Saccharomyces cerevisiae S288C: one gene and its partners. Changing the gene in region 3 together with the main gene of any one other region gives a genetic interaction. Each region holds a gene or a part of one and is shown on either strand. Other genes may lie near its edges.

Region 1 (8,429 bases), on a different chromosome or scaffold from region 3:
TTCTACCATTGGTCACGGTCTCAGTATATTTGTCGTAAATATTAGTACTCTAGTCTGGTCAGAGAAGTGGCCTTTCTCCCACCAAAACGTTGTTGTTCTGTCTTTTTTCTTATTATTTACTATTTATTGGATTTATCAAAAATTCCTCAGGAACAAGATTTAATATTCTTGAAAATCCTGTATGTCATAAATCATGAGCTTGGAAATTGACACGAAATATCGGATGGCACTACTTGATGATCGTTTTTATCACTACCGCTGTACTTTAATTTCATAATTTATTTGGTGACATTTCTCTTGAAGATCTGGCAAGATGTACACGGGGAGCTCCTTCAACTGTTAAAAATATTTTTAAAAGTAAAGACGTCACCATACTTTTTCACCATAAGAACAATTACTGGTCCAGATTAAGAACGGTTGGAGTAAGAGCCAATTATCATTCATTGACTGGTATTTCCTTTTGAACTATATTATCATATAATAGGTAAGAAGATGGCAAAAAGGAAGGAGAAACAGTGGTCTGATGTGATAGGGAAGTAAATGTCAACAAATACCTAACAGTACTATCTGATCGAACAAAGAAATTCCACCAAACTGTCAGTAAATTTATTTAATGAGCAGCAAGGACATAGTGCACAACTAGCACTCTACTTCGATTGGGTTATTGAGGAAGAGGATAGTATGCCCGGAATTTTCAAGCATTTACATGATTATGGTTTCATTGGGGTGCAAGAAGACCCAGCATGATTAGATTGCTATGTACTCATTATATAATATATCTCCGATGAATATATTTCCGAAAGTTTACTGAAGGCGACCTTGGATAAACCATAGTTTTACGGCAAATACACCATATCACTATTTTCTTTCTATATAGCTTTGCTAAGGCTTTTTTTAGTGACCGAGACAAAGAAGAAAATTTTCCATAAATGAAAGACCATTGTTTATTCCGAATCAAGTTTTCCGAAGAATTGTTGTATTACACAGTCCAGAGACAGCAGAATCTTTCAGAAATTTTAATACTGTTGTGACAGCATCTTGTCTATTATTTATTGGATACGCAAAACTCATTTTTTTAAAATTTTTTTTATAATTTCCTTTAAATAAAAAGGTTAAAGCTGGGAAAAATGCATCTAAATAATAAACTAATGATTTAGTTTCCCTCATTTAAAATATCTAAGAAGGACAGAACTTTGTTTGGGGTACTTACCCTTGAGTATTTTTAGCGATTATTCTTGGAGTTCTCAGCCAGAAGATTAAAAGAATATATGTTACTGAATGCAGTGTGATACTCAAGACTAAGTAGTCTTAACAACAAGTTAACAAGGGCGTGTGGTCTAGTGGTATGATTCTCGCTTTGGGCGACTTCCTGACTAACAGGAAGACAAAGCATGCGAGAGGCCCTGGGTTCAATTCCCAGCTCGCCCCTTTTATTTTTGATTATTTATTTCCTATTGGTCGGGTAACAGATTTTTTTTATTTTTTTCAAGGCCCTTTTGTTTTGTAAACAAAGAAATTTCACAAAGTGAGCGTCTACTAATATTGATAATGCCATTTCCACATTACAACTACTGCTAGGCGCAGGGTTATATTACTTACACACGCATATATATGTTTAATTGGGTATAGAGGGGTTATTGTTTGACCATGCCGAAGAGAAAAATTGCTCCTAACAAGGAAAGCAGCAGGCGTACGGTCTCCCACGATGATTTAACCCCACAAATACAAGAATTTCAAAACCTAATGGATCTCGAATCGCAAAAAGTGGAAAACATCAGACAGTCGTATTCGAGGCAAAACTCCCTGCTGGCCAAGGATAACTCCATATTAAAAATTAAAGTTAATAGCTTGGAAAAAAAAATAAGCCAGCTGGTACAAGAAAACGTGACTCTACGATCTAAAACCTCTATAAGCGAAGCTATCTACAGGGAACGGTTAAGTAATCAACTACAAGTCATTGAAAACGGTATTATTCAAAGATTTGACGAAATTTTTTATATGTTTGAGAACGTACGTAAAAACGAAAATTTGCCCAGTTCGAGCTTAAGAACAATGTTGAAGAGAACGAGTTCCAGGTCAAGATCATGCTCATTGTCATCACCCACATACTCAAAAAGTTACACTAGGTTATCAAATCACGAGAATAACCTGTCGCATGAATCAAGTTTTAACAAGGACGATGGTCCAGATCTTGAGCCTAAGGCTAAAAAAAGGAAGAGTTCTAGGCGGCAATCTATGTTTGTATCCACGAGTTTAGAACCTGAAGACGAAACCGGTGAAAACGAACCCATGATGGAAAATTCCTCTGTAGAGGTACCGGCAGAATCACACGAGTCTGCGCAAGTGGAGGAAACAATAGATGCCTTAAACCCTGAAGAGGAAAATAGCGATTCTGTCAGTAATTTTACCAATTCAATTATAGAATACTCCATACCAGAGGAGAATCCGACAGAACCCGAGCATTCATCTTCTAAACTAGAAATATTCAATGACAGTACAAATATGCTAAGTACAGTGCCGTCAAATCCTTTGCCGTTGCCTTTACCAGGCCCATCCGCAACTTTACCTACTACCACTAGCGATGCTTCAACGGTCTATCCTTCATCAAGTTCTTCTACTAATTCTCATCCAAAGACCAAAATTAAGCATTCCATGAAGCCGCCTAGGATAGAACTGAAGAAAAAGGTTATTGACGAAGTCATGCCCGTAAGTAACATGAGCAGCAACAGCGAAATATCATTTACGAGAACTAGAAGAACTCGTGGTAAAGCTGTAGATTACACTTTGCCTTCTTTAAGAGCCAAAATGAGGAGGCCTTCAGAAAAACTTGTGGATGCTACTACTGTGATTGATATACATGATCTACAGGTTTCCAAGAGAAATCGGGAAACTTCACATAAAAGGAAAAGTTTATCCCAAGATTCAATACCCGACGAACCGCAATTGAGAGAAGTCGTCGTCTCAAAGGATTATGGAACTCCAAAAGGGAAAAAAACGGAAGATGAAATACACGAGGATACCGCTCATCTAATGACCACTTCCAACAACAACAGCAACAACAAAAACGAAAAAAAACTAACTAGCAACAATAGCCCTAAAAAATCGTCGCCTTTACTTGACATTACAAATAAATCGGAGAATAAGAAAAAGTCAACAAGAACTAAAAAATTGTTCAAAAATGCAATTGTCAATAATTTATCTGATGAAAATTCTACTACGCGACCCTCCAAGTCGTCAAAGGGAACCAGTAATAATAACAACAATTACAACAATTTCGACAATAACAATTCAAACATTAATAATGTTAATAATAAATCTGTTAGCTTTAGACTAAATGAAGATGATTTAGCAGTATTTGATTTATTTGGAAATGGTAAGGCAGTGAAACATCAACCAAAAACATATCGCACCAAAAAATGATATATAGTCTTTTTGCCCTGGTGTTCCTTAATAATTTCTATATTTTTGCATAATAAACCATTGTATTATATACATTCGATTTTGTGTGTATATACGTAAGTACATGATTTTGTTTCTCCTCGTGCTGTCAATTATACACTCATTTTCATTTGAATTCTTGGATGAGGATTATAATCTTCAATTTCAAAGTCTGTCAACTTGAAATCATCAATGTCTTTAACGTCCCTTTTAATCTTTAGTTTCGGGAATGGTCTTGGATTTCTGGTGATTTGTTCTTTCAAGGCATCAATGTGGTCTTTATAAACATGTGCATCCCCCAAAGTATGAATGAACTCACCTGGCTCCATGTCGACAACTTTAGCAATCATTCTAGTCAACAAAGCATATGATGCAATGTTAAATGGTACTCCCAACCCCATATCACAAGAACGTTGGTACAATAAGCATGAAAGGCGGGGCTTACCGGATCCTTCTCCTTCTTTGGGGAAACTGACATAGAACTGTGAAAAAATATGGCATGGCGGCAAAGCCATTTTGTCAAAATCAGCTGGGTTCCAGGCACTCATAATGATTCTTCTATCGTAGGGATTTGTCTTTAGTTTATGTATAACCTGTTTCAATTGATCAATACCTTGTCCAGTATAGTCGTCATCGCACGTCTTGTATTTAGCACCAAAATGCCTCCATTGAAATCCGTAAACGGGCCCCAGATCTCCTACTTTCCTATCTTTGAACCCCATCTTATCTAAATATTCACGAGATCCATTACCGTCCCAAATCTTAACACCTTGCTCAGACAATAGGTTAGCGTCTGTATCACCGGCCAAAAACCACAATAGTTCAAGTATGATACCTCTAGTAAAAACCTTCTTGGTCGTTAGTAGTGGGAAGGTATCATCACGTAAACTAAAACGCAGCTGGGGTGGTGCAAAAAGACTCAACGTACCAGTGCCTGTTCTATCTGGCCTAAATTCACCTTCATCAATGATTCTTTTGCATAGATCAAGATATTGCTCTTCTTCTTTGTTTTTTCCGTCCATAGTCATCCTGTACCGTTCTGTTATGAAGCTCTCTCCTTGATACTTTATTGTTTGATATACACAGTCACTTACAAGTTTAGAAAATACAATTACAGCTATGCTATAGTAAATATTTCAGGAAACGCGTCAATTAAGGTCTTTTTCATTTTTTCTATTTAACGCGTCACCAAATATTAAGTTTGAGAAAGAAGGTCAAAAAAGCAACACCTCTTCCAACCTGTTCAATGCGGTCCTACGTTGAGGACACAAAGCTAATCTCTTTGAGGTAGCTGCAGTATAATGACGGGACCTTTGCATATTTTATTGGCCTTTTCCAATGAAACTAATTTTTTAATTGAATCTCAATCCCGTCCTTTACAGACGAGAGGGGAAAGAAGCTTGTTCGCATGATCCATCCTGGAATATGGATACATGTCATGTAATGATAAATCATTCCTACCTTTGCTGGTATCTTTCTGAAAAGGGCACATTTAATTAAGAACTGCCAACAAGGAAAGATCTCCGTTACCCTACCCAACTTGTGAGCTCAGATGAATGAGAATAACTAGAATACATACACATACGTCTAGTATCATTTCCCCCGGTGCTGGGAAATCACCCGTAAAAGCAGTGAAGAGCTTATTAACTCATGATGTCTGATTTAACACCAATATTCCGTAAGTATGTTGCTGTTATCGATGATGCTAGAAATGAGCAAAATGGTATAGATGATCATGTTGAAAGGAAACAAGAGGACTTCGGGAATTCTAATGAAACGTGTGAAATGTTTAGGGATTCGTTTATTAAGGAATGTGCAAGACTATTGAAGTTCCTAGTCGAATTAAACAAGGTAATAAAACAGATTGAAAAAAACTATTTAGATGACTTTAATATGAGTGATGCGGAAAAGGACGAGTTTGACATGGAATGCAGGCTGCAAATTCAACAATATTTCAAAAAGTTTGAATTCCTAGAGAATTACGAAATGGAAAGGCATAATTTGTCGCTGAAAAGATTTCAGTCAAAGTCTCACAGATGGTCAAAAATACTTTCCAATAAAAACGACAACACTAAGCATGTGATACATCCGCAAGACATTGAAAATGGAGTTTATGAATTTAGATTAGGTGTCCTACGGTGTTTGAATTTGTGGATAAAATATGTTTCATCCAAATTCACTACCATACAACAGGAAAGATTGATATTAGAAAATAAAATGAATTTCAATTCAACGCCTATGCCTACTTTATCCAACAATGCGGATGATTTCTCTGCAGATGCAATAGACATCTCAGTGTCACAATCTGCTCCCGTAGAAACTGTACAAGACGAAGTAAAACATTATGAAGAGACGATATCCAAATTAACCCAGGAGCAACTACAAGTGTTGGAGACAGAACATTCGGAACTGCTAAATCAAAAAAATGAGCAATTGAAAAAAGTGGAGACTATAAACAAAACAATTTTAGACATTGTCAATATACAGAACGAATTGTCCAATCATTTAACGGTGCAATCTCAAAATATAAACCTAATGCTGAACAATCAAGATGACATTGAATTGAATATTAAGAAGGGAAATAAAGAATTACGTAAAGCGAAACGAGCTGCTGGAAGAACTGCTAAAATGACCACTTATGGTGCCATTATCATGGGTGTTTTTATATTGTTCCTAGATTATGTAGGTTAATATCACTTTCATAAGATATGTGTAAAATGGGTTAAAAAAATCAATCTATCATCAACTTATTACTATTCATTTTATATATTAAACAATAAGTATGAATGCCTAGTATAATTTCTTAGTTGTAGGATTACTGGCATGCAATTCTGCCAACTGCGATAACCTTATGATCTATTGATGTTAAAACAATATTGTTGGTAATGTATTTGGAATCAATCACATTAAGAGCAAAGTCTGGTTCTATAATTTCGACTTCGACAATAAGTGACTGATTTGGATTAATTGAGATGTCGTTAGTCCCGAGAATCTTCACCAATTTTACCGCGTTGTGCGTCAAATTATGGTAAAGAAGCAATTCAGAACCCAAGTCAACGGGATCACTTAGCGCGTGCGTTTGTATTGATAATTTTATTAAACGCAAGGCTAACAACTTTAGTGTGTTTGGTAAATTCGGTGATAGTGTATTCGTCTTTCTAGAGTGAATTATTATATCACCCTTACGAATGTGAAATTGCTTTTTCGTGAAGTCTTCGGTATTATGAATCTTAACAAGAACCTCTAAAATGTCAGGGTTCAAACCGACTGATATATTATTTTTTGTGTTAGTCTCCAGTATTTGTTTTGAATTCTTCATTCTTGAAACTATACCATAGTAATGAAAATCTTCATATTGTGTATGAATTTCAATTGTCTGGCCTGATTGAATATATCCGCTGTTGATCAAGACTTTGAGTGACACGTAATTTATCTCCGCTATCGGTTGAAGAACAGAAGATTGCAGTATTGTGCCTACAAATGGCTCTTCCAAAGTTGTTTCTATTTTGTTCATATTATGCTCTACCAATAGATATAGTTGCGAAAAAAATGTCGGACCTTCATACCATTCGGGAACATAATTTATAGAGTCAAATTCTGACTTATACTTAGATTTTGTGATGTTTTCAGTTTTATTCAAATTCGAACCTAATAAACCCGAACACGGGATAAATTGGAATTCTGCGTCTGTCCACTGAAAGTTTTCCTTCAACACATAATTTAGCTCAGACTGAATCATTTCTAGTCGGTGCTTATCCCAACTAATTAGATCTGCCTTATTCAAAAGAATTATCAAGTGCTTTTTGCATGCGGAATTCTTGTTCAAATAAGAGATCACTTTTAAAATTTCATAAATCTGATTATTTGGACCATCTAATGATTTTTCCCACGAGTCATAATTGCAATCAATAACCAATACATAAACTTCAGGATCAAAGGTCAAAATTGAGTTCAGAGTTTCTTTATTGAAGTATTTGATACTACCAGGAGTGTCTATAAGCGTCAAGGTTGATGATGGCGGTAGTAAATCATTTTCTACCTGAATAACTTTCTTAAACATGGAAAATCCATTTTCTCTTTCTGTTTTGGTATTGTCTAGAATGACCTTAAAACTATTTGAAGATGAAGGATCCAAATTACTGCTTTTTTTTTGTAGTTCCCTCATTGATGACATAGAAATTTCGTTTAGATCATATAAAAGATGACCAAGCAAAGTGGATTTGCCTGCGTTTGTATCACCGAGGAACAAACATGTCAAATTCAGAGGATGGGTGGCAATGAATGAATGAATATCAATCGACTCAGTAGGTGGTGTTTGAAGGTTAATTGGTTCCTTTTTTTCGGCCTTGGGCACAGATTTGATATTTAAGTTTTCTAATTTTTCATTGAAAGCATTAAGTTGGGCCGATTGTATTATATCATCAGGACTTGGTCTATTGAAATTCTCAATGGCTACTTTACGAGTTGTTTTCGGCAGGTTACAAGGCACAAAAATACCAAGGAGCTCATTGTTATGCTTTTTTAAGGACAGAAATGATGAATTCTGCGACGATAGCGGTATTGATGTACTCAACGAGTTTTTTTTATCTTTTATGATAAAGTTTGTGAACGCAAAATCGTCGGTTTGATTTATGCATGGATCGTTTTTCAAGAAACAGTAATGGTTCATTTCTTTAATAGCCTTCCATGACTCTTCTAAGTTGAGTTTATCATCAGGCGATTTCCTTTTGGTAGGGAGTTCGTTTTCTTTGCTGTCTAATGTCACTGATTTTCCTTGTTTCTCCAAATCACTATTTGACTTCTTTAAGGCAGACAACTTTAAACTCAATGAAACACTATGCTGGTTCGGGGTAAAGTCGCTTCTTTTTACCTTGTCTTTTGCAAGTAGCGTCTTCAGATCCTTCCTTTTTGTCTCAGCATTGTTATCTTTAGTTTCTCTATTCTTATGTAGTCTTTCTAGTAAGGATGCACTTTTCGATGTACTATGAGAC
Region 2 (8,221 bases), on a different chromosome or scaffold from region 3:
TGTAAAGGAATCCGGATAAAAATTTTGAGACAACTTTGAGAGCTGTTTAAGACGAAAAAAAGTGACCTCAAACACACGAATAATAATGTTTAACTAAGCTTTCAATTTGCAAAGGTATACTTTGTCTTTTGAGTTTTAGTTTCCTATAAAATTAGGACAACAAACCCTCTCAGATGTGTTCACCAGTTTTCCTTTGCAGTTAGAATTCGCGAAGGCCCCGACGCCCTACCTATATTAAGTTTTTGAAACAAATATTGCACGTGATACAAAATGTACACATATTAAGCTTTGTTGAAGCATTACTTATATACGTAAATCTATTATAGAAAAATGTAAATGGGCACATCACAAGTATAAACCTTCTAAATTTTCCTCAACTTTATTTTTCATGACTCTCTCCTTGGCTTGTTTAAAATCCTCCGCTGTAACTTGCATTCTTCTCTCTCTAAGGGCTAACAAACCTGCTTCTGTACACATTGCCTGGATATCGGCGCCTGACAAATCATCCTTTGTTGTTACTAAAGTTTCAAGATTAACGTCCTCACTTAAATTCATCTTGGAAGTGTGAATCCCTAAAATTTTTTTCTTAGTACTTAGATCAGGGTTTTCAAATAAGATTTTACGATCAATTCTCCCAGGCCTGATTAATGCTGGGTCAAGAGTCTCGATTTTGTTAGTGGCCATAATCACCTTCACATCCCCTCTGTCGTCGAACCCGTCCAGCTGGTTCAGCAATTCCAGCATGGTTCTCTGAATTTCTCTCTCACCACCACTATTGGAGTCATATCTTTTAGTACCAATGGCGTCTATTTCATCAATAAATACAATACTTGGTGCATTCTCACCCGCTACTTTGAAAATTTGCCTACACAACCTAGGACCATCCCCCAAATATTTTTGAATTAACTCTGAGCCAACAATCCTTAAGAATGTGGCAGATGTTTGATTTGCAACAGCCTTTGCTAGCAATGTCTTACCTGTACCGGGTGCACCATAAAGAATCACACCCTTGGGAGGTTTGATACCCATCTCTTCATACAGTTCGGGGTGTGTTAACGGTAACTCTACAGACTCTTTTATTTCTTGAATTTGAGATTCTAAGCCACCAATATCACTGTATGATTCTGTTGGCGACTTATCCATTTTCATGACCGAAACCATTGGATCGGCGTCATCCTGTAAAACACCTACGATGGACATGGTTTTATGATGCAATAACACAGAACATCCAGGCTCTAGTAACTCTTTATCGACAAAGGATAAGATAGATACATAATAATCAGGCATAGTTGGACTTGTCACTATCGCATGATCATCGTCTATAATTTCTTCAAGGGTCCCAATGCTCAATGGATTTCCACGTATTTCTTCCAATTGTTTCTTTTCCTCCTCCTGCTTCTTTTCAAAGGGTTTTAAAATTTCAGAGTTAGAGACAAATTCTTCTTCTAATAACAAATGGTCTTTAATTCGTTCCATCCTTAGAAGCTTTAACTTACAACGAGTACTTGGATATATGTTGGGTAATTTTTCAGCAGTAGCTGGACCTCCCTTTCTTTTCTTACGACCAAATTTAGATTGAACGGGAGGTTCATATTTGGGTTTCTGATTAGATCCCTTCTTCTTCTTTTTGTCTTGTCCAGATGATACACCTTGTCCCATTTTATTTTCTATTAAAAACGCTGTCTCTTCTTTAACTTGAATTGACTGTAAGCTTGACACTGATACGCATCATATTCACTAATATTCACATTAACCTTCTTTTAGGTAAAAGAAAAGAGACATTTGCCACCGGAGAAAAACCGTTAATAACTCGTTACCCGGAGTGATAAAAATATTGGGAATATAAAAATGACGACAACTGCAGGACTCGAACCTGCGCGGGCAAAGCCCAAAAGATTTCTAATCTTTCGCCTTAACCACTCGGCCAAGTTGCCTTACTAATGATGAATTATTGACTTAAGATATATCCCAAACCTAGGAATATGTAAACCTGCTGGAATATTATTTGTTAGAATAAAAATCAACTATTCTCTCTCAACTAGTAGTCTTACTACGAGTATATTATAATGTACAATGTTAGATGATGACATAAGGTATGAGAAACTGTCATAGAAGTTAGAGGAAGCTGTATTCTGTATACATAATATTATTGCCTTTATTAACAATGGAATTCCAACAATTATCACTTGTTGATAGTTAGAGGTAAAAAATAGTATTAATGAAGAAATAAGTATTGATCTTCTTATACTAAATAAGAGAGGTATATAAAACACACGCCGATTGGTCATATTAATCATGACCAATATAATAGTGATTCCGGTAGTTACTATACATTGATGTGACGACTCATATTCCTCATATATGTACCTACCATATCATGTTCAATTAATAGATCTTTAGCACAGCTTCAGTATTGTCTGAGCTTCTCGTTTAACATTCCTTCTGCAATAGGTGCAATCACACTTAAACGTATACGAGGTGTACATTAATATACGGTGTAAGCATTAGATTGTTACCATAGCAACTCATGTCACTATTAATTACTCTCGTTCCAACATCACTAAATTCCCGTAATTACCACCGCAAAAGAAAAAAGAATACAAGAAATGGAAAACTAGCGCATAATTTTGTTTCTTTCTTTTTCAAAGTTGCAGCCGCTACTATTGATTCGTTTGAAAATAGCACTTGGCGGCTAAACTACCGGCATAGAAAGTGGATCGGGCAAAATTAAAAGGGAAAGAGCGACGGGGTTACGGGACCATTACATAAAAAAAGTATCACAAAATCTATTGTATGCAAAGATATAAACCATCACATTATTGAAATAATATCGTTCTTGATACTTCCATAATCCAAGAAAAATATTTCAAGCACTTTCTTGATGTTCCTTCCTATAATTTTTCACACCATCCTAACCCTCCTGAACTTTGGTAAATATTACTGTTTACCTATTCAAGAAGACGATGATAAATCAGGAAAAGAAATTGAACAAATTTTAGACAATAACATCGAGTCATTAGGACTACTACTAAATTCGATGTCCTTATCCTCGAACTTTACGACAGGCGATCCTGAACTAGATTCGCTCTTCCAAGATGATTTAATCCCCGAGTTATATAGTGTATTAGATGGCTTCTAACACCAAGTATGTGTATTCTAAGGGTATACAAAATAAATACTGCGATACTATTCAATTCTTCAACAGCAGCTTACTAGATGTAAAATTAGTTACTTCAATTTATACTGTCACTTTTGCATATTTTCAATAGAATAAAATTACCGACGTCTGCCTATTTCTTCCATTGATGGATATATTTCTTTCTCTATCTCATTGCTTGTTACAACACCAAAAGTTTTGCTAAGAATGTGTATAGGAAACAAAAGCCAGAAGTCATTTCGTTCCAAGCCTTTAAGCGCCTAATAGTGAACTTTGCACCGCATACGTTAGCTTATGGTATGTGTGGTAATGTGTGAATTGTTTGTGATATGTAAAAAAAAAAAAAAAAAGGCCACGCTCAAGCACACAATGAAATAAAATTTAAATTTCGGGGCCATTCTACCGTTGGTTTTGCTATCTGCCGGAAAGAGGAAGTCCACAAGTGCCAAAAACTGTCAGTTACATTTTAAAAATAATCGAAATTTATTTTCTTTTGCTATCTCGGTTAAATATTGATGTGTGATTTGGCATAGTTGGCCATTGTCTTATGATTTCTGATTCTACGACGTTCCAATTTTTTATAATCAGTTCAATAATAATAATACATCGATCGGTCGGTCATATTCTTTTCTTTCTTTTTCTGTCAAGGCGTTACTGACGCGACACACAAGCGGCAGGTATAGTGACGTTTTCCGTTGAATGAAGTAATTCTAATGAACCTACGGTTCTCAATAGCATTGGCAGAGGCAGCTGATAAATGTACAGTAGTTTTTACCAGGAAATCCAGCGAGTATTACACATCCGTAGACGCGCTATGTTTTTCCTCAGGTTATCTTTCAGTAATGCTTGAGATCTCTAAAGGAAGTATACACAGTAATAGTGTGACCCAAAAGTTGTTAAAATTTCCGGAGGTAGCCATTATATACCAATTTTTGTATAAATTTACAGGATTAGAAGGTACCTAAAAAACTATAACATGTCAAGAAAGGCCTCTGAGAAGTGAAACAATACTTCCAAGCACAAATATATATTAATAGAATAATGACTGCTTGGTAGTTGAGAGATTACATGTATTGCATAGTGACTGAAAAAATTTAGTATAATTGCTATGTTGCTAGCACAGTGTTAGAATAGGGGCAGATCATTTGTATCATATAATGGGGTATGGAGAACAGGTACCAATTGGGCATATTGAATATTTCGAATATGATGTTATCTCCAAGAATGTACATCATGTCCATTGTGACATTTCATGGTTTTATATATGGGGTTTCTGCATTTTTCAACAAACATCTCTTTTATAAGCTTTGCGCTAGTTATGGTATTTATTTTTCAAATTAATAACTTACAAATAAACAAAACTTTCTCAACTAAATATTTATTTCTTCCCTGTAGACTGTAAAAATTTCGGAAGCAAAAATAAACCTCCCTGAATGTTAAAGGTGATTATTAGGTGAATAATTTGATAATTGTTGCAATTCCACTGTTTGTAAATTCTATAGTATTATGTATACAGAATACAGCTTCCTTTAACTTCGACGACAATTTCTCATAACCTTATGTCATCATCTAATACCGTACATGATAACACACTATAAGAATTGAGAAACAGTCATCAGATGAGATGGAAGCTGCAAATGCAAGCATTGAAAATATAATAAATAACGAATGATAACAAAAAATGTGGGGAAGAAAAAACAACATTACCATGTATGATTCTTGCTTCCCTCTTGTAGTATCCTCTATCTTGTAAGAGACGTTGTGATATACTGAATACCCAGTAATATTCCCGCTATCTAGAATGAAAATTGTTGGAATTGAACTCTAATATCATCTATTTAATATTATATTATCACATGCGGTGTAAGAAGATGACATAAAGATTGAGAAACAGTCATCCGATCTAATGGAAGCTGAAATGCAAGGATTGATAATGTAATAGGATAATGAATGACAACGCATAAAAGGAAAGAAGATAAAATAATAACATTATGTAGAACTATCGATTCCCTTTTGTGGATTCCTATATCCTCGAGGAGAACTTCTAGTATATTCTGTATACCAATATTATAGCCTTTAGCAACAATGGAATCCCAACAATTATCTAACAACTCACATATTTCTCAAAAATAACACAATTTTATGAAAGTTCACATAATTGAGTTAGAGCTTGAAATACTCTAACTTACAATCAAATGAACACAAATCAGAAGCTTCTATGGCCAAGTTGGTAAGGCGCCACACTAGTAATGTGGAGATCATCGGTTCAAATCCGATTGGAAGCATATTTTTATGTATTCTAAGTATGCAACGATACCGCTGTCATCGTTAGCATGATTAGTACACTGTTGTTCTTTTTCAATCTAACAACCTTAACTTCAGTTCCGGCTACAGTACATCTATTCAACGATTGGAAAAGAAAATTTTTTTATCTTTAGCTGCAACAAGAAAAAATCAATATTAAATTTTCATTTAAGTATACAGAATGTTAACAGCGTTCACAAGAAAAGAACCGTATGGAAATATAGCTAATTGTGATTTCTAAGTTTCTTTTTTATCGTAACAAAAAGTCTTCGTCCAGGATGGTATCAACTTGCTGTCTACCGATTGGGTTATCGGTGTTTTGCCTTATTGGTTCATCAAAGTCCACAAACTCTTCTGCGACGCCCTCCTCTATCATTTCTTCTCTTCTTCTTGAAACTATTTCAACGAACTTTTGGACATGAGCGTCATTAATTGCTAGACCCTTCTGTAGCTGGAAAGTTTGCCTACACATCGGACACAGTCCTTTTGAGGTTGGTGTATCAAGCCAACGGTATATACAATGATCATGGAAGTTATGATGACATAGCCCAATCACTAAAGGGCATTGATCGCCTGGAAATTTACAGCTTGGACAGGTACCGTTATAACTGGCACGACAGATACCACAGACATCCTCGTCTTCATCATTGCCAATTGGATCGTTATTGGCTGCGTCCTCATCAGATGTGCTAGGGATGTGCCATGACCAAGCAAACACACTGTGCACTTCGTTTATTTTAACTTTCATATTTTTATAATCTGTATTGCCACTTTGCTTGTTAAACTCTCCCGATATTGTACAAAGTTTTTGAAGAATGCATTATTTTTTTATCTGCAGACACGGAAGATACAAAAGTTATCTCGGCAGCTTACCCTTTATATCGAATGCAGGCGTAGACAAAAGTGCGTTGCATAACTTACCAAGGTGAAGTGCATGGACCAGCAAAGGATAGAAGTTATTGTAAACATCGAAACCATAAACTTATATATGTATATATGAAGGCATTAAGCGTTTTATGTTTTCACAACCCTTTTAAGAGATGTCTTGGACAAAAAAGCTTCTTCGTTGGTGATAGCTTCTTTATTCCAACTCCGAAACGCCTTGTGCTAGGAAAACTACGCCTTTCCAACTACACTGCATTTCACGACCTAATCATTCACGACCTCTTTATTTATATATTTATTCTTAATTTTTTCTTCTTTCCTTTTTGTAACAATTTCAATTATTGGAAGGTTTTTCACGTTGCTCAACCGAGAATTTACCATCACTCCAGACTTGTAATGATTCTAAAAGTTTCCCTTGAGTGTGCAGTTTCTTGATTTCTTCATTACCTCCTCTTGATACTCCATTAACCAAAAGGTTTGGAACAGTTCCTCTACCGGTCACCAACTTGATATATTCTTGCAGCTCTTCCCCATGTCCATGTTTGTCAAGTTCTATAATATAGTAGTTTGGGATAAACTGATACTCATTTTCAAGCAGTTCCTTCATGCCCTTGCTATATGAACAGGTGCTTTTACTAAATATTATAATCGGAGACAAGTCTAGTATGAGGGAGTATTCTTTTTGAACATTAAAAGCTTTGGTTATTCGCGACCCTTTATCGTTTTTAATGGCCGACAAACTATCATCAACCGATGCTATGGGCTGTTGGAGTCCCACCTTCTGTTTTATTTCATTAATTTCTTCGTCTACTTCAGAGCTCCCCTTATTCGTGGTAGAAGTCGGCATAGCAGCATATTCCCTGGAAGATCCTCCAGCCATATTGTCCATATTAGTACTAAATGCTTTAGAAGTTTCCTCTTTTATCTCTACCGTCAAGAAGTTCGCATTTTGCGCTACGAAAAACACTAACAACAATAATAGCGTTGTAATGCTTAAAATTCTAGCATTTCTCTTATTGGAAGGTATCATAATAAAATTGTTTCTATATTAAACCGCTAGGTTGCTAAGGTTTCGTCTTTTCTATCTTACGATAATTTGCTTAAAAGTTCATTTAGAGAATAGATAGTGATCTTTCCCAGTATAATGTTTTCCCGATTTCGCGAACGCTCCGCCTCAGGCGCCCCGGGACGCGTCATGCGCGTTCCAGAAAGTTAACTAACTGCTAGTGCATTCAATTTCTCAAGGCGTAGTATTTGGGATCTATAAAGCCTTCGACATTAAGCACTATGCTTAAAAGCGAACAGCCTGCGCCACTACTTAAGAGCGAATCTTGTGTGGAGGGATGACTAGGTCCAAAGAGGGAGAAAAGGATCTTGCGGAAAAGTCAACAACACTAATCGGTAGCTGAGTCTGTCAGTGCATCCTTACTGGCTTACTATTTTCATTCATGCTGCAAGTAGATTATCCTCTAGTTAAATTAAACGCGGATGAACTACGCCATTAAATCCATCATAAGAAACTAATTACTACTTTTAGGAAATTAGCCAACTAAAAACTGCTGAAACGCCACATTTCACATAAAACCCCACGGAGCAGTAATGGGAGATCTTAAGCTCAGCCCAGTACATATGTCCATCAGCCTTGAATAGCCACGGTGAGTTCTCGAAGCTTCCTTCCACCTAGTCCAGAATATTTCTTGGTAAATGGCTCGAAGTTTTCGTATTAAACGATGCTATCAGCGGCATCGTGAAATATTGAAATATAAAAAGTATTTACGCAACCGAAAAGGATATTAAGACAAACCCATACAATAGCCCATAAACCAAGCAAATACACATCTCATGTCAGCTCAAGATTATTACGGAAACTCTGCC
Region 3 (3,379 bases):
TCAGTTTACCTTTAGTTAGAAAAGCGATGGAGCTAGCATCTTGCTACTATATAATAGTTGTTCAAGATCGTAGGTCTGCCTGCCGAGTGATTAGGGGAGGCTACTGAAGTTTGTTTTAATGTACCGGTTACATTTTCTTGTACGAAAGTATATGAAGGGGGCTTATTACTTCCAAGCCTATATTTTCTGTGGCATCGATTAGTATAGTATAAAAGAGGGAGTGGACATAGCGGTGAAAACTATACAAGAATAAAAAAGGAACTAAGAACCCTTTGCATTCATATAATTTCACATATGCATTTTTTATTTTATACTCAAATGTATGTTCTCACCTAGCTTGAGAAAGCGATGATCAAAGTGAAAGGTTCAACCATTTCTCAAAGTGCTTAACACATTATTTGAAAAGAAAGGGTTTTATTCCATCCACTCTATTATATCTATAAAAAATTATTTAAATTACCCACATATTTGAAAGTCCCGAATGGGCGCTGTGGGAAAATTCAGAGCCTGCCGCGATCGGCCGTGTTGACTGGTACTTCCACGACGACAGCGACGACTTTACCTGTGTCCAGGTTATAAATTGGAGGATGCTGTAAGTTTCTCAAGACACTTTGAATGACACCTGAGTGACAAGTAAGCGAGATGAATTTTTCTTCGCTTGACAATTGATTAAATAGTTCAAATAATCCATTCAGTGTACGTTTGTCCATTTCAGCACACGTTTCTCTATGATCAGGAAGCCACAATTCATCATCTTCTGGGTAATCTGGTACATATTGCCAATGTACAGTGTGGCCCGATTCCGTGCTGAAATCCTGGTATTCGTCAACTGCCATTGAGTGAGCCACTCTTTTGTCACAAGTGTGAGAGCCCAACGTCTCCCTTAGACCTTCTATAATGCGTGTAGAAATTTTAGTTCCGGCCGGTAATTCTTGCGTCTCCGCTAACACTGGTGTCCACGACTCAATGAATGTTTCGAGACATCTTCTCATTGGAGAACTGAAAAACACATGAGGTAGCATACCTAATTGCTTTGCCATTGGTAGCAAGACATTCGATCCTGTTCTTCTAACTTGATCTTTACCCAGAGGTGTCAGTTTAGAGTCAAGCCACTCTCCATGTTCATCGCCCGAAAGCAACGACCAATAGGCGTCCCATTTCTCCATACCGTACCTCAGTATGGCAGCATTGTGGTAACCTTGACCATGCCTAGCTAAAATCAACAGCTTATAGTGGCGATTTTTGGTATTTCTAGGGATAGCATGATACAGTTCCTTCCAATTCTTATGGTTAATCAATTCTAAGTGATCATATTTCGTGGAGTCTAATCCTTGAAAACCCTCACTTGGATATGCAGCAAAATATCCTGGGACTGCTCTGAGTGACATTGTTGAATAACTGTTGGTGATTTCACGCAGCAGAGTCTTGGAAAGAAATCGTTAAATAACATACAAATCTCTCGAGGGTTTTTTTTTGCAAATGACACTTTTTACTTTTTCCAGTACTAGCTAGCACCCGAAAAATTAACTTGACTCGCACATGCCTGCTGGGTCATATCCGAATCTGCAAGAAATTAGGATTACAAATATTTATTCAAACGTTGCACAACCACGCAATAGAAGATAATATCTGTAAATTTTAATCGCTTTCATCTGAAAACACTGAGCCTCTTCTTAATTTTCACGGACTTTTTCGCAGCCCAGGTTTGACCGGCTAAGTACGAACCTCTTTTGTTTGGAATAAGAGTTTGGTATTAATCAATTGTTGGTACAAAAGATTAATAGTATTACTTGTGTTTTCAGAATATAATTGTCCGTGAGCGTCCTAACTGTCATCGAGTTTATAGGAAGCTAATTAGTAAGGACTGACCATGCAAACCCAGCAATGAATGAAAGGATATAAACGAGGGAAGAAATGGTAGCAGTATTAAGTAAAATTGTCCATTTCCCCTCGTGAAATTATCCAAAACGCGGCAGAAGAACTTTTAAGTTATCTACTGTACATAGTGTTATTGTCCTCACGTGAATTGAATTGAAACTTTTTCAGAACATTATCGCTGAACTATAAATGAAATTTTGTAATGATTGTTCTGATCCCATCTTACTAAAAGCATTATTGTGAAGTATAAAATACAATAAATTTCTTCTCAAAAAAACTTGCCGTACATGATATGGAGAAATAGGTGAATTTAGGGATAGTAGTTATTATAATGAGCCTATTATAGAGAATCTATTATCGATTTCTAACGGTCGTATCAATCTGTTGTATTACGGGCTCGAGTAATACCGGAGTGTCTTGACAATCCTAATATAAACAGTCTTAGGGAAGTAACCAGTTGTCAAAACAGTTTATCAGATTAATTCACGGAATGTTACTTATCTTATATATTATATAAAATATGAATCATACTAAGTGGTGGAAGCGCGGAATCTCGGATCTAAACTAATTGTTCAGGCATTTATACTTTGGGTAGTTCAGCTAGGGAAGGTCGGGTTTTGTCTCATGTTGTTCGTTTTGTTATAAGGTTGTTTCATATGTGTTTTATGAACGTTCAGGGTGACGTATTGTCATACTGACATATCTCATTTTGAGATACAACACAATCACGTTTAAAAGCCTTGTTGGCGCAATCGGTAGCGCGTATGACTCTTAATCATAAGGTTAGGGGTTCGAGCCCCCTACAGGGCTTTCTTTTTAAAACAGGATGCTAAAGCCGACACCGTTCAAACACAAGTGGCAGCTTTTCTCGAGAACAGCAATGCCCACAGTTTTATTTACAATTTTACACTATTGACGTGGAGATTTTTTTATCCCGCATATGACCTAGTAGAGGATCTCTGTCTTCCCCTGATAAATGTCAAATGTATGACGTTACCACAATTGTATCACGGTGGTTTCAGTCTGTCATGAGGAATAAGGGCATTCAGTACCGACAATGCTATACTTGTAAATAGAAAAATGATGTTCTAAAATCGGCATTCTCGCTATTTGAGATTTTGTCTTTTTTTACCTGGTATTTCGCGTTTATATTACGGATGCAAGAAAAGGAGAAGGGCGCATCACATCGATTTTGGTCTACCTATAAACATTCTCTCTCTCATCCACTTTCGGTTCAATAGTGCAAAAATAGGTAACTAACAACTCAATTGAATAGTAAATGTCACTTCTAATAGATTCTGTACCAACAGTTGCTTATAAGGACCAAAAACCGGGTACTTCAGGTTTACGTAAGAAGACCAAGGTTTTCATGGATGAGCCTCATTATACTGAGAACTTCATTCAAGCAACAATGCAATCTATCCCTAATGGCTCAGAGGGAACCACTTTAGTTGTTGGAGGAGATGGTCGTTTCTACAACGATGTTATCATGAACAAGATT
Region 4 (8,118 bases), on a different chromosome or scaffold from region 3:
AGTTTATGCTTCTATAATCACAAAAAAATTTCACTGAAGTTGTCAGATTCTGCCGCAAGGCTTCTCATAGATTTTGTTAAGTGGTCTTACTCGGTTTTATGGCTTGAAGGTTAACATAATTATGAAAACTTATTGATATCCTCCCCACCCCTAACGTTTTAAAAATGATCTCGTCCAATATGTTTGAGGTGAATAATATCGGACCAGTTCTTGTTTTTAAAAGATAAGAATTGCTCATATTTCCCATACTTGTTGGAAAATTTCTCTCAACAATTGTATGAAGGCAAAATCCCTCAATTGAAACATTAAAATAGTGATTAGAAAAACAGGATTAATCAGTTATACGAACGTATTTTTGAGAGAATATAATGAGAATACAATGAGCTTCAGAAGATCTGTTTTTCTTTACTTGGCACTTCTTCCTCAACAATTATTGGCACTACAAAATTTTCTAATTAAATGTTAAAGATCCCACAGACATCATTCGTATATATCCTCCCATTTTATACGGTTAGCCAACTTTGCGATCCTACGGAAATTGCTATTTTTATAGTCAACTCATTGATCTCGAGCACAGCTGCTCTTTTCTCTCAATGAATTACGTTATATGTTAATCACACAAGCATCAGTTTTTCATCGCAAAAGAAAATATTTAGAGTTCTTGCAATTCAGATGTACCTCAATTAATAACTCAATCACCTCCTATGTTCTTGCTGGTAGTACTGCTTTTGTCTTAATTACTGCTGAATCAGCCTTCTAGAAGACCGTTCTGTTTCAGCCGCTCGCCCCTTTTCAAAGCTTGCGCGGCTGAGTTTTATGAGGGGCGGCTTTTTTGTGAATGGCAATCTACCATTATTAGTAGCAATATGATTTGCAGATAGATACATATATATCCTTCTGGGTTCATGTCTCGTTACCATCCACACTAATGCATAGGACCAGAAAGAAAGGACATCGAATCCAACACGTATTAAAATAAGGACTCCTCATTAAAAAGGCTTTTAATATTCAACTTGCTATAGATCACGCACCCTTTTGGCAAGTCAACCTTAAATTATTATGATTTCTGTTTGCCCACAAAATGACTTGCAAAAATGCTACAGAAGCCTCACATTCGATGTTCCAGGACAACAATTCGAAGAGAGAAATGAACAAAACCTTAAAAAACGGGCCAAAAAGAAAGGCAGTTTCCAACCATCTGTTGCCTTTGACACAGTGCCTTCCACCGCTGGTTATTCTTCTATAGACGACAGCAGGGAAGGATTCAAAGGTGTACCTGTTCCCAACTATTACACGATGGAAGAGTGCTATGACGATGAAACAGACTCTTTTTCGCCAAATTTGCAATATTATTTGAGAGATACATTCCAATCATCACCTTTTCTGAATACTAGAAAAGAGAACAAATCTGAATCCAGTAGTTTTCCAATGAGATCCTCAAAGTTGTTGGAAAAGAATTCTGACATCAAAAAATATTTCTTGGTATCCAAGAATGGAAAAATAGTGAGGAGAGACTATCCAAGCACGCCAGTAATTGTCAACGAAACGTTGATGATAAACAGGTTTGAAAAGAACTGGATAAAGTTATGGCGCCAAAGAAAACTACAAATAAATGAAAGGCTGAATGACAAAAAAAAATGGTTTACTTACCCAGAACTTATCTTCTCTGAAGAGCGTATTAAACCGTTATATAGAGGAGATGATAGTGCACCATGTACAAAAGAACAAAAAAGAAAGCATAAAATACTTCAACAAAAGGTCGGATATCCCAATAACCCTAAGACAATAGTTTGTCACATTAACGGAAAAAAACATACGTGGGTTGCCCTAGACTGGACAGTCTACAAGTTTGCACGAAATCTTGATCACATTGTTGTCATAACTACACTGCCAAAAATGATTTCTAACAGGAAAAAAACTGCAAAAGATGATACAGAATGGGCACCGGGATATCAAAAAGAAGTAATAGATCAAAAATTAAACGACATTTTTGATTATATTTTACAGCTAGTAAAAGTGGTCAAAATATCCGTCAAAATTACTTTAGAAATAATTGTAGGCAAAATTAAAAAAAGTCTGGTAGATGTCATTAATGTCCATACTCCAGATTTCTTAGTTCTTGCTACTTTAAAGCACGAGCGAAATGAGAATCTTATTACATATAAATCCAAAAAGCTGACAGATGTCTTTCCTGTTAGTTATCCGATTCCCACATTTGTTGTTCCCTCGAAACGAATGTATTCGTTCGAACTGAATCTACAAAGAGAAGTAAATGAACATTATGTCTCAAAAAATCATATGAAGCACGAACACACTGACGTTGAGAGCATGAGCAGTTCAATGTTCAAAAAAAATACAATATCAGATATTTCTTCACATATTTCCGTAGATTCGTACGCCGAAGATTTCAAAAGGCAAGGCTACATCAAAAAGCAGTTCAACACCTCTAATGATTCCATTCCAAGAAAATTGACCGGTCTCGCCCAGCATTCAAGAAGGAAGATCACGGGTGATATAGAAAAATTACAAGACGATGAGAAAGATAGAGAATGTACTAAGGAAAAACTTTTGTTGAAGAAAATTGATATCATAATTAGAGAGTCATTGAAGTCTTCTTTAGCGATAGAGACGTTGCCTGGTAAAAATGTATCGCAGTCCAGTCACGGTGACCAAATTTCCAGCTTTAAGAATGCTTTGATAGGCAATGGGTCGAAAAACACAAAGTTTAGAAAATCTTTAATACCATATTCTTCCTCAGAGGAACAAAATACCACAACAACTATTAAACTCAGTAGCTCGCCTACGTCCCAAATCAAGTTTGCAACCTCTGTAAAACACAAAGATGGAAGAGCCGCCCTTGGCAAAGCCAGAAATCTGCCTGATATAAGGCACAGTATTTCCTTCGACAAAGAAAATTCCTTTGATCCATCTGATAAAAGCAGTAGTGTTGATAATAGCATTCCTTTGAGGAAAGTTAAAAGTGCCGGTGCGTTAAGAAAAGTCAAAACTAATGACTCCTCAAGTAGTGCAGGGTCAAAGAAAAGCTCGTCTAGTTTTAGTACTGTGAACACCTTCACTGGGGGTGGAGTTGGGATTTTTAAGGTGTTTAAAAGTGGAAGTTCCTCTGGAAATAAATCATCCAGTAGAAGGAATAGTAGCAGTGGCGATGTTTTTGAAAGTGATGATCGTAACGACAAGAAAAAGAAGAAGAAAAAAAAGAAGAAATCATTGTTCTTATTCGGCAAAATATGAGCGGATAGTTTGTACACATAGTGTCCCTAAAATTCCTATTGATGAATAGATCAATTTTATTAGCAGACAATTGGGGGCAGCAACTGAATAGCAGAAGAAATTTGAGTTCAATTATTTTTTTTTCCTGTCATACATAATGGCCTATTTACAGGTACATACATATAGAGTATGTATATAAAATCTCTGTTGAAGAAGACATCATTCTTAGTCCTTGGCAATCTTAGCCAGGATTTCAGCGTCCCTGAAAAGAATAACTTCATCGTCGTTACCCAATTTAATGGTAGAACCACCAAACTGTGGAATCAAAACTTGGTCACCAACTTTAACTTGAGGAACAACCTTATTACCATTAGCATCAGTAAAGCCCGGGCCTACGGCAACAACTTCAGCTTGGTTTAACTTCTCCACGTTCTTTTCAGGTAAATACAACCCGGATGCTGTCTTTGCTTGTGCCTTGATTCTTTGGACAAGGACACGGTCCATCAATGGAACGATAGATTTAGCAGACTTCAAAAGGGTGGACATTCTTTTTTTTCTGTAGATTCAATATATTTTCGATCAATGGCTTCTATCAGAAATTATTTTAAACCTAGCACATAATAAGTTTGTACTGTATAAGCGTTTTGACTAATTTTATACATAATCAAGCTTCTTTTTCCCATTCCTTCAAGATTCTAGAAATTTCTATCATTGATGACGGGCATTACCCCGTTAATGACCTTCACACGAATGAGAATTGGGCGGCTAATGAGAGAACTTCGAGAGGTGCAATAAGTGAGAAATAACAACTTTAGAACTCATTATGATTGCTTCCAATACCTAATCCTACGTATGTACTAAATTAAAAAGACAGACATGCATTATTGAATATTGACATTTTGAGAGTAACTTTTTATTATGAGTGGCATAATAAGATAATCGACGCAAGCCACAATTTATACAATAAAAAATGCTACCATCGCTGCTACATATGAACGAAAATAATACAACTATCGTTACGGCCTTTGCTGAACCGTAATAAAATAAAATTCCTTGTTACATTTTTTTAGCCAGCTGCCTCAGAAAGAGGCGTTTACTATTTAATGGAGAAAGAAAGCAAAGAAAAATAAAAGGTATTTTCTTTACGGAAAGCCTTCGAGCAATCCAGGAGAAAGTGGACCTTTTTTTCCCAATGAAGAGATCATAGGAGTATGGATTGAAAATATAATAGAACTTCGGGTAACGAGGTGTAATTTCACAGTCCATAATACAGAGCTAACGGTTTAAGGGTAAATAGTTATCTAAGTCAAGTTTTGAAGGAACAAGTAAGAAAGGTCGCTACTGTTTCTAAACATAAGATATACAAAAATAAATATAGCTATCTCAATGGGTGCTGCATACAAAGTATTTGGGAAGACGGTTCAACCTCACGTATTGGCTATATCTACGTTTATCGCTACTGCTGCAGTGGCATCTTACTTTACCACGAAACCAAAAACCAAAAATGAAGGCAAGAATAGTTCTGCCTTGAGCCAACAAAAAAGCGGTGAAAGTTCAAACTCAGATGCTATGGGAAAGGACGATGATGTCGTAAAGAGTATTGAAGGATTTTTAAATGATTTAGAGAAAGATACGAGGCAGGATACGAAAGCCAACTGATTATGTATAAAAATTTCTGAAATGGTGGTGTTCTTCATCGTTCAGTGAAGGGATGCACTGATTTCTATAAACTTGAAGCACTTTTTGAAACTACTGTTCTATAACGAAAATTAGCGTCCTTCTTTCTATTAAGTATGCATTATACATATAATTCAATATATTCTGAATAGCAAAACGGCAATGAAAAAAAAAAAACACTGAAAATACTTGCCTTAGGCCATTGTGCATGATACGAATATGCACAAAACTTGCCTCTTTTTACTTTACGGATCAATGACAACACTCAGGTGTAAGTGATAGTTGATGGCCTTTCAATATTTGAAAGGCTGGAAGATAATTATAAAAAATCGAACTAATTGCCTATGATTGTTTCATTACTGAGACTATTTTTTCACCTCAAGGGGGTCGTCTGAATTAGCAAAGCCATGGCAACTAGTGCAGTGCTTGAAGTCACCAGCTCGTTTGGTTTTAGATGCAAGTAATGTAAAGAAATTAATTTAAATAAAATAATAAAAGTTTCTACTTTTTTTTTCAATTAAAAAGCATAATACAACCAATCAATTTTATCCTATTTGGCCTGACAATGATGATATCATAAAAGTAAACGGTTCCTTGTTTTTATTTTTCTTGCATGCACTTTTCAGAAGTCTTGGTAGCGCTACTAACGCAAAATACGAAATATTCATTGGCTAATAAACTTGATTTTTTCATTGAATGTCGTTTTTGAACTATATACAATATAATTAATGCTACGACCCTAAACTTTTCAACTAACTCTTTGACAAGGAAGCATCATCACTTATTACAACCATAGAATGTTACTTAAAGGACTGTTCTCATCTACATCAACAGATCGTCCAAACTTTGAGCAGAATCCTTCTTGATCAAATCCAACATCCCTTCAGGCAAAATAGGTTTACCTTCTTTATCTAAAACGTATCTAAATGGCATTTCCGTGGCCTCATTTTTATTGAACCTAAATTCAGGGTAGTCAATGAACTTGATGTCTTCAAATGCAATCCTGTCTTTGATAATCAACTGTGTTGTTCTTATGGCAGTATCCGTAGTCATTTGTTTATCACCTAGTCTTCTGCTAATTAAAAGATTCGGATAGGCAGTCTTTAGTTCTTTGGTACGATCTCTTGGAGGATGATCACCCAATATGCCACCAAATACGAAATAGTCGAATTTCGTAGCATCCTCCGGCTGTAAATCGATTGTAGCCCTAGGGTCCAATAGACAGACTCTGCCATCTTTTAACAGTTCCAAATCCTTGAAATCTTCGTTAATGCCCTTCAAATCCTTTGTAGTCCATCTTAAACCAAGTTTTAGTAGCCTTTGAGGGATGTCCTTTTCCGTGGTACTCTCTGGTAACGATGATAAAATCAAGTTTTCAGCTCCTACTTCTCTCAGGATTTGGCTATACTCTAAAATGACCCATTCACTAAACCCTTCCTCCATATGCTCAATAATGTACTTCATCGTATATCTAGAAATAATCTCCACAGCTGTATCAATCTATATTAACAATAGATATGCCCCTCAACATCTAATAAGCAAAGGGCATTGCTCTTTTACAATACTCGATGAGCTTACCGAAAATTTCTAATCCAAAATAACGGAAAAAATTGAAAAGGTGTCAATCCTGTTACCCGCAAGTTGAAGTACGGAAAGAATACAACCTTACACAGTGGAACTATAATAGACAGTAAAGAAAAAAGTTAAAAAAAACTTGTGCCTTGCGTTTACTGATCAACCAGTCTTTCTTTTTACATATATTTCTGATGCATTTTCATGTTTACTTAAAATTTCTTTTAGGATAAACGCTGCAATATCCGGTTCTTCGAAATAAGAAACATGTGATTTTATAGCTGATATAAAATCCACTTCTAGCAGACTTGGAGACATAGCATAATCTAGACGTCCGGTGTAATTCAAACCTGTAAGCATTCTCGTAAGATTTTCTGATAACTTGACCTCTTTTTTTTCTGGAGAAGTTTTTTTGGACTGCAAATTATTTTCATCAGTACCTGGCAAATCTTTCCATATGTTTTCGCCAAATTCCAAAACTTTAGAAGTTAGTCCATAAGCTTCACTACAATGTGGTAAATAAGTTTGTTCGTAATGAGCCATTTCTTTACTAACAAGAGGTTCCATCCTATAAGAAATGGGATCACAGACGTGGTAAACATTATAAATGTCCTTACATTGCGGTCTCTGTACGGTTAATTTTCTCTCCAAGTCATTGGGAAATTCGGGACGGTCACCAATTTTTGTTCTTTGAATTAACTTTAACAATCCAATTGGTGAGCCAATAAAGAACAGGTTGTCTACTTGAAATTCTAATTCATATTTTTTTTGTTTGGATAGAATATCAAATAATATCATACTACCCAACGAATGGCCCACTAAATGGACTTTCCCATCAAACTCTGGATTAAATTCTTTAAAAATCCGATATGTTTTGTTCAATTGAGAGGTTACTTGTTGTAGAATCATATCTTGGTAGTATGGTTCGACATACAACAAAATATCTAGTAGACCGTCAGCCAGTAGCTTCCTCAAGGGTAACACTCCATTTACTGTGACTTGTGACAAAGTCGGTAGGTCAGGATTTTCTATATTTTCCTCCTTAGCATCCGTTTGGAAACTTATCGAGTGCCTCCAGGTGATGGGTAGCACTTGAACGTTACAGTTGCTTTTATAATCAGGTGCTGTGTTTAATGATTGTAGTTTCTCAGAATTATTGTAGATTTTTTTCATATTAGACCTAAGTAGATTTACCGTGTGTGCGAAATTTACGTATTCGTACTTCTTACCCAAAGTCTGACCTATACCGTGAACGCATAGTATCAAGTTATCCACATCTCTTCTGTTACTTCTAATTTGTCTATCGCTTGCGCCCGAATTTTTGCCATCTTCTATTTTGCTACTAGCATTAGCGCCTTGACTGTTATCTGCATTGTTATAGTCTGTTTCCATTTGCTTTTCCAAGCTCTGTGCATCATCTTGATCTTTACTAGCATTACCATTGAACAACTGTAAAAAGTCCGATAAATTGAAGAGGTTTGAAACTTTCTTTTCTAACTTTGTTTCAATGCTCCTCGATTTGGAACTGTTACTACCATCTGCTACTTCCGTTTGAGGCGTTTTTGCTGCCTTAAAAGATGTGGATGTCTGTTTAGTAGTTGCGGAGGATGAATATTTGTATGATCTTGTAATCATTGT

What was found.
Region 1: mutations in PMU1 (region 3) and CDC21 together harm fitness more than expected from each alone (negative genetic interaction), as found in Saccharomyces cerevisiae (one large-scale study listed by BioGRID).
Region 2: mutations in PMU1 (region 3) and APC11 together harm fitness more than expected from each alone (negative genetic interaction), as found in Saccharomyces cerevisiae (one large-scale study listed by BioGRID).
Region 4: mutations in PMU1 (region 3) and HSP10 together harm fitness more than expected from each alone (negative genetic interaction), as found in Saccharomyces cerevisiae (one large-scale study listed by BioGRID).

Annotation. Positions count from the first base shown.
Region 1 is NC_001147.6:463,124-471,552, forward strand, and holds CDC21 (thymidylate synthase), read right to left. Parts: upstream 4,467-8,429; coding exon 3,552-4,466; downstream 1-3,551. Other genes in the region: YOR072W-B (uncharacterized protein), read left to right, coding at 1,346-1,507; SGO1 (Sgo1p), read left to right, coding at 1,648-3,420; UFE1 (Ufe1p), read left to right, coding at 5,089-6,129; SKI7 (Ski7p), read right to left, coding at 6,254-8,429. UniProt on the Saccharomyces cerevisiae protein: Thymidylate synthase required for de novo biosynthesis of pyrimidine deoxyribonucleotides. Required for both nuclear and mitochondrial DNA synthesis.
Region 2 is NC_001136.10:431,485-439,705, reverse strand, and holds APC11 (anaphase promoting complex subunit 11), read right to left. Parts: upstream 6,210-8,221; coding exon 5,712-6,209; downstream 1-5,711. Other genes in the region: proteasome regulatory particle base subunit RPT2, read right to left, coding at 346-1,659; YDL007C-A (uncharacterized protein), read left to right, coding at 2,882-3,139; YDL009C (uncharacterized protein), read left to right, coding at 6,458-6,781; glutathione-disulfide reductase GRX6, read right to left, coding at 6,681-7,376; YDL012C (uncharacterized protein), read left to right, coding at 8,189-8,221. UniProt on the Saccharomyces cerevisiae protein: Probably catalytic subunit of the anaphase promoting complex/cyclosome (APC/C), a cell cycle-regulated E3 ubiquitin-protein ligase complex that controls progression through mitosis and the G1 phase of the cell cycle.
Region 3 is NC_001143.9:200,384-203,762, forward strand, and holds PMU1 (putative phosphomutase), read right to left. Parts: upstream 1,389-3,379; coding exon 501-1,388; downstream 1-500. Other genes in the region: phosphoglucomutase PGM1, read left to right, coding at 3,158-3,379. UniProt on the Saccharomyces cerevisiae protein: Probable phosphomutase that may have a function related to the manipulation of phosphate groups on carbohydrates. Reduces trehalose-6-phosphate levels when overexpressed in TPS2-deleted cells.
Region 4 is NC_001147.6:367,068-375,185, forward strand, and holds HSP10 (Hsp10p), read right to left. Parts: upstream 3,778-8,118; coding exon 3,457-3,777; downstream 1-3,456. Other genes in the region: YOR019W (uncharacterized protein), read left to right, coding at 1,060-3,252; MCO10 (Mco10p), read left to right, coding at 4,618-4,890; protein-arginine N-methyltransferase SFM1, read right to left, coding at 5,731-6,372; DDL1 (putative carboxylic ester hydrolase), read right to left, coding at 6,643-8,118. UniProt on the Saccharomyces cerevisiae protein: Eukaryotic CPN10 homolog which is essential for mitochondrial protein biogenesis, together with CPN60. Binds to CPN60 in the presence of Mg-ATP and suppresses the ATPase activity of the latter.